Linked DNA regions of Saccharomyces cerevisiae S288C. The gene in region 2 interacts genetically with the main gene of each other region. Each region holds a gene or a part of one and is shown on either strand. Other genes may lie near its edges.

Region 1 (3,760 bases), on a different chromosome or scaffold from region 2:
GACGGTAGTGTCGTAGTGATCACAGCTACACTCTGTTCGTATTTCCGTTTCCAAACCAAAGCATTGATTTAGGGTGATATTATGGTTGACTGTCTGCGCTTCCTCTTTAATAAGTTGCGAGAGCAGGAATCTGTTAAATTTTTGAGGCATATTGCGTTTAATACTTTCAGAAGAATTAAAATCCTCGATACTTTCCCTTATGCACAGCGATTCTAAATACTCTTCTAAATGTTCTTGTGGTTCACCGTTTTCTAATTGTCTTTTATCAGTTAAGGATTTCAATGACGCCTGAAAATTGGAAGAACTACATATTTTTCCATGTGATCTTTCCATCATGTCAAAGAGGTAGCCTAGATCAGTTAGCAACGTTGTTTCAAAATTCTCGTCTTTCAAACACCCAACAACGAAATTAAACATTTCTGGAATAAAGCGATACAATTGTATGATAGCATTTGTGTAGTGATTATCAACATCTGGATCCAATCCTGAATACTCAGTGTTATTAAAGGGCGTAAAATCAAAATTATCAGTACCAAATCTACCTGATGTCAGTGGAAGTCTACTGTATGCAGGGGGTACTTCGTACTTGTTGATTGAGGTATATGTCTGTATATCGCTGGTTTCTAAACCGCTTGTTATCTGTTTCCTTATATCTCTTAGACAAACGTAATCTGGTATAGCATTTCTCATACCGTATTTGGTGCGATCATATCTTAACAAAGGAAATTCTTGTGTGCTCAACTTCTCATTTTGGCTCGAGATCACAGCAAGGTTACTTTTTAATTTGCCGCTCGATGGTAAGGGTGACTTACCTGTTAATTGCGGTATGGTACCTTCACTTTTAAACACTACAGGGGGCCATGCAGACAAAAGTTTATCAAGATAGTACGGCATCCCCACAGAACTCAATGGATATGTTTCATCGTCGACAGATATTGGGCCGTCAGAGGTAATGTCATTAAAATAATCAGGATATGCTAGCATTTCAGGGGTATTGGTAAACATTCCCATGTTGTTTGATGATCTTCTCCATGTATCTAGGTGATTATCAGCTTCTAGTATACCCAATACGTCACCATTGGGGGACAAACATAACTTTTTAATCGACTGGCAAGGATGAACATATTGTGTTCTTAAAGTTGGATTGGAAAGGTCGATGAAATCAAACGAACCAGAACTTGAGGCGACGATCATAACAGTAGGAAGCAAAGGATGTAATTGAACAAAATCTGCGCCTCCAGATCCCATAGTTGTTCCTTTAGAAAAGGAAACAGGAGGGAGTTGACGCATTGTTCTCAAGTCGTAAACATTCACAAATGGGTCAGCGTATAAGTTATAAAATCTTTTGGACTTCCCTACTGTAACCAAGGTGTTATCCCGTAAATCCATAGCGGATATGGATGCAGAGTGTGCATTAAATGATTTGATAGTACGATTCGATGTTGGATCTAGCAAATCCACAGTCCCTGTTTGTCTTCCGATAGACAAAACTTTATTATTAGAGCACATTAACTTCACTTTAGATGAGTAATTCAAGAGGGAATCTAAGCAACCTCTGTTCAAGTCAATGGACGCAATTCCCCAATTTGTGTTGTCACCACCACAGTAGATATTGTTTTTCAGTGAATGAGGAGAATAGCACATAGTGTTCAATTCGCTAAATGCAGCAATATCAATGCTAGTGAGGTTCAATTTAGTAACACCTCTTCTATTAGCAAAGTGTAAGGAATCTTCACTAATAGATAAAATACCATCCCGATGACTGAGAATATCCTTCACGGAATTTCCACCTATGTGGCCCCTATATCTTGTATAAAGTTGAAAAGTTGGATCATATGACGAAATGCAACCATAGCTGTCTCCACTCCAAATTAAGTTTGCCTTCTCATCGAAGCTAATCGCTGTAATTTCCTTATCCCTATTATCGAAGCGAAAGTATGGCTTCTTCAAATGTTCCGAAAGATCAACTGGATTGTTGAAGAAATGTTGCCAATTATTCATAATACATTCACCATTCAGAAACTCAGTATAGCAATTGTGTTCTAGTAATCTCTTAGGGTGTAATGCAGTTCAAAACAAAAAATAAGCAAATAAAAAAATTTTCAGAATGTAAAAATTCTAGTTAAAATGAACGTGTATTATATGGTAATGATGTGTCTCTTGGAGATTCTATTTCTTGTGTTCCTCTATGCCCACATAGTACGTTATTTCCTATATATGCTAACGTTAAAAGCATGTTTCTTTTTCGTTATTCTCTCATTGAAAAAAACAATACGCGAAAGAGAAGGCGCCACCCGCCCCGTTTTAATACAAATAGATAAACACATAACAAAACAAAGGCTAATTAGACACTACACTCAGTGATTAAGTACTTAGTAACCGTGATTACGACGTCCCTTGTGATATCTAAGTGGGCTGACAATGAATGTGGATGAAAGAAGCCGGATTGGGGGTAGAGAGAAGGATGCGGGGCCCGGGAAAGGCATTCTTAAGCAGAACCAAAGCTCGCAAATGACTTCAAGCTTTCTAGAGAACCCTGGTGTTCGTATTCCTACCAGGATTATAACAAAAAAAGAAGTATTAGATGGTAGTAACACGACATCCAGGATCAATACTTCTAATTTACAGAGTATGGTAAAGAGAAGAGTTTCATTCGCTCCCGATGTTACGTTGCATAGTTTTACTTTCGTACCTGAACAAAACAATGAAATTAAGGAACCAAGACGTAGAAAAACTTCAACCAACAGCCCTACTAAAATATCTAGTCAAGAAGAGCCTCTTGTAACGTCTACTCAAATCGATGATGCTCGTACGGAAGAAAAAACAGCGGCAGAAGAAGATCCCGATACATCTGGGATGGAATTGACAGAACCTATAGTGGCGACACCGGATAGTAACAAGGCTTCACAGCATGATCCCACATCAATGGAAATGACTGAAGTTTTTCCTCGGAGTATCAGACAGAAAAATCCAGATGTAGAGGGAGAAAGCATTGAGTCAAGTCAACAAATCGATGATGTCGAGGCAGTGCGAGAGGAAACAATGGAATTGACGGCCATACATAATGTACACGACTATGATTCAATTTCAAAAGATACAGTAGAGGGCGAACCAATAGATCTGACAGAATATGAGTCTAAACCTTACGTTCCAAACAGTGTCTCACGCAGTACCGGGAAATCCTCTGACTATAGCGTGGAAAGAAGTAACGATAAAAGCGACCTTTCAAAATCTGAAAATAAGACGAATTCCTCTCAGCCGATGGAAATTACAGATATATTCCATGCTGATCCACAGAACCCTATGAGTCTACACAGCGACAATAACATCAATAATGATGGTAATGAGATGGAACTCACGCAAATACAGACAAACTTTGACCGCGACAATCACCACATTGACGAATCTCCCAGCGAAAAGCATGCGTTTTCTTCTAATAAGAGGCGCAAATTGGATACTGTCTCTGATTATGCTGCATCGGTTACGACACCAGTCAAAGAGGCAAAGGATACTAGTGGAGAGGACAATGATGGTGATTTAGAGATGATGGAGAAAATGTCACCCATTACATTTAGCGATGTTGATAATAAGATTGGGACGAGATCCAATGATGTGTTCACTATTGAACCCGGTACTGAGGATACTGGCATGCAAACCGCGACAGACGATGAAGAAGATGGGGAAAATGTCGATGATAACGGGAACAAAATAGTTGAGAAAACAAGACTCCCCGAAATAGACAAGGAAGGGCAGTCTGGTA
Region 2 (3,294 bases):
GTACTCTGCCCTGATGTTCAGAAATGAATAATAAATCATCTAGGCCATAACTGAACCTACAGACTCTAAATGCACCGTTGTGGGAATGTGGTCTAGTCGAACTAATTTCTGCCATGGGAGTAGCCATGTTTCTGATATCATAAATTGCGCAAGTACCATTTTGAAATACCGTCGCAAATTGCAAGTCGTTTTCGGAAAAAGAGTTATAAAACCCATGGTCTGAATTTGGAGCTTCATATATGTTTTCGATATATTCTGATTCATCAGGTAACGCAAACCGTGGTATCCGTCTAACACGATTGACAGAACTACCCCAGGAAGGATGATTATCGTAATGTAAGGAGAATTGGTTGGTTAATTCATTTTGATTGTAAACAGCAAATTTATTAGAATCGCCAGACACTACCATCGTTTGACCATCATGTGACAAAGAAGCGTTATTCAAAGGAAATTTTAAATCCGCATAACGCTTCACTAGTGTTACATCTCTATTACTTACATCGCATTGGTAAAGATGACCATCATTGTTGCATGCAAAAAGATCAAACTGCATACTGGCCCTGTCATAAAGTGTGACACAATTATTGATGAACTGGCCCAACGTAAAAGTCATCATTGTGTCCGTTTCTTGATTATAAAACTCCACGATGCCCTTCCAGATATTAGGATTTGAATAATGTGAATTTATAGGGAAACTAATATTTTTGGAAATATTAATCGGTTGGGAAGGTGGCGGCAACGAAATATTTGCATCTTGAGCTAAACGGTTCCAATTAGAAGGGAATCCCTTATCATCAGAACCGATTAGACCACCACAAACAGTCAACCCATTTAATTCCGTGAAACATCTCGGCTTAAAGTTGAACTCTACCAGTTTCTCGGAAGGAACATGTAAATTTTTGGAGATATACGAGCCCGTTGTCCTAGAACCTTTTGTAGACGTTTTTTCAGTAGAGTTTTTACCACTGTTACTCGGTTGAATAGAATTATGTCGCCTTACTGGAGACCTCAATACGGAAGAATCCGTATCTAGTACTCTTATCGAATGATCGTAAATATAATACAGTTTACTCTGGTTCATGGAGCCTGGTTTGATACAATCCCGCAACTGCCAATGGTTTATGGAGACCTTGGCATCGTAGAGTTCTAAAGCAGGCATCATATAGTTTTGGTAAACCTTATCAGAGCCAGTATTTAACCGTTCATCTTGCAGCGCCTCCTTAGATTGCCCCGTGCCATCAATGGTCATTCTTTAACACGTATACTTTTGTAACTTATTGCTGTTTTTCTACCACTTTATTCGATCTTACTTGTCGTTGCTTAATCAGCAAAAGTTTTGTACTAGAATAAAGTTGTAATAGGCTTTTAATCCAGAGTCTCCTCCTCCTCACTTTCTGATCATCACCCCTTATTGCCTCAGAAAAGAGATCATACTCCGCTTTAAAGCCGTTCAATGTCACGTGACACAAAGTTGTAGCCGTATAACATATGGCGCTACCATGTTGTTATTTAGACGGGTAACATCACCGTTTAGAAAGATAAAGGAAAGTGAAATTATTGGAATGGAAAGTGTTCCCAAAAGTTCGCACCAACGCAAAAAGAAATTTTTTTTTCAATTTTGATATCATCGTTGCGTAGAGGAAGCCCTAACTGAGTAGAGAAATTATATGGTATTTTCCTTGTAATATTTGATTTTGAGTCGATATCCCCTTTGTTCTTCTTCCTTCCTTCGCTTGTTTTAGTTGTATACTTGGTTTATTGTGGAAGATTTTTTTTTCTGCTTCGTAGTTTTAAATTAGAAGTTATTTCTTTGCAAATTTCTCTTCCCCCCACAGTATTCTTTTAGAGGTGAAGTAGAAATAAACCAAGAAAGCATACACATTTTATTCTCAATGTCCAACCCATTTGATTTGTTAGGTAACGACGTCGAAGACGCTGACGTTGTCGTTTTGCCACCAAAGGAAATCGTCAAGAGCAACACTTCCTCCAAGAAGGCTGACGTCCCACCTCCATCCGCTGACCCATCCAAGGCTAGAAAGAACAGACCAAGACCTTCTGGTAACGAGGGTGCTATCAGAGACAAGACCGCTGGTAGAAGAAACAACAGATCAAAGGATGTCACTGACTCTGCCACCACCAAGAAGTCCAACACCAGAAGGGCCACTGACCGCCACTCTAGAACTGGTAAGACTGACACCAAGAAGAAGGTTAACCAAGGTTGGGGTGATGACAAGAAGGAATTGAGTGCTGAAAAGGAAGCTCAAGCCGATGCTGCTGCTGAAATTGCTGAAGACGCTGCAGAAGCTGAAGACGCTGGTAAGCCAAAGACCGCTCAATTGTCTTTGCAAGACTACTTGAACCAACAAGCTAACAACCAGTTCAACAAGGTCCCAGAAGCTAAGAAGGTTGAATTAGACGCTGAAAGAATTGAAACTGCTGAAAAGGAAGCTTACGTTCCAGCAACCAAGGTCAAGAACGTCAAATCTAAGCAATTGAAGACCAAGGAGTACTTGGAATTTGATGCCACTTTTGTTGAATCTAACACTAGAAAGAACTTCGGTGACAGAAACAACAACAGCAGAAACAACTTCAACAACCGTCGTGGTGGTAGAGGCGCTAGAAAGGGTAACAACACTGCTAACGCTACTAACTCTGCTAACACCGTTCAAAAGAACCGTAACATTGACGTTTCTAACTTGCCATCTTTGGCTTAAGCCTTATATATGAATAATTCCAACTGAAAGAATCCAATAACAGTGTTCTACTTTCTGTTTCTATTACTATTATTATTTTAATTGGTTATTTACTATATAATTTGCAAGTGAAGATGATCATGCTGGCAAACCAAAGAATAAAATTGGGTTGACATCCAATCGAGAATATGACATATCATTTTGTTTTATTTAAGCAATAAAAAATAAATGACTTTTAATTTACTTTTCAATTTTCTTTTTTTTTTTTTCACTTCTGAGATGTGCAAGCGTGTAGTTTGTTTGTATTTGTATAACAATTTCATCATTAGTCATTCTTCATTAAAAACTTTTTGTTATCGATTAAGGACATCCAGTATGATTCTTTTTCTCTCATCTTGATTATCTCTTGAGAGTATTGTTAGGCAACGCATTATACCACAGTTTTTTTTACCAAAGCGAGCGGCACTCCAGCAGGTGCTTCATGTAGTATTCAGGTATCACATCGCTATATTTTAAGTTTCTGTCGCCGTTGATCATTCCTATCTCCCATTCACTTCTTCCGTTCGGTTGCATCTGATTACCATAGTCATGTAGTCCAACT

What was found.
Region 1: of STM1 (region 2) and PAN2, extra expression of one rescues a mutant of the other (dosage rescue), as found in Saccharomyces cerevisiae (one study listed by BioGRID).

What each region holds. Positions count from the first base shown.
Region 1 is NC_001139.9:332,465-336,224, forward strand, and holds the start of PAN2 (poly(A)-specific ribonuclease), read right to left. Parts: upstream 2,002-3,760; coding exon 1-2,001. Other genes in the region: kinetochore-microtubule binding complex subunit SPC105, read left to right, coding at 2,422-3,760. UniProt on the Saccharomyces cerevisiae protein: Catalytic subunit of the poly(A)-nuclease (PAN) deadenylation complex, one of two cytoplasmic mRNA deadenylases involved in mRNA turnover. PAN specifically shortens poly(A) tails of RNA and the activity is stimulated by poly(A)-binding protein PAB1.
Region 2 is NC_001144.5:438,575-441,868, forward strand, and holds STM1 (Stm1p), read left to right. Parts: upstream 1-1,892; coding exon 1,893-2,714; downstream 2,715-3,294. Other genes in the region: GID11 (Gid11p), read right to left, coding at 1-1,249; PCD1 (8-oxo-dGTP diphosphatase), read right to left, coding at 3,141-3,294. UniProt on the Saccharomyces cerevisiae protein: Ribosome preservation factor that protect a small pool of nontranslating, vacant ribosomes in cells under nutrient starvation conditions.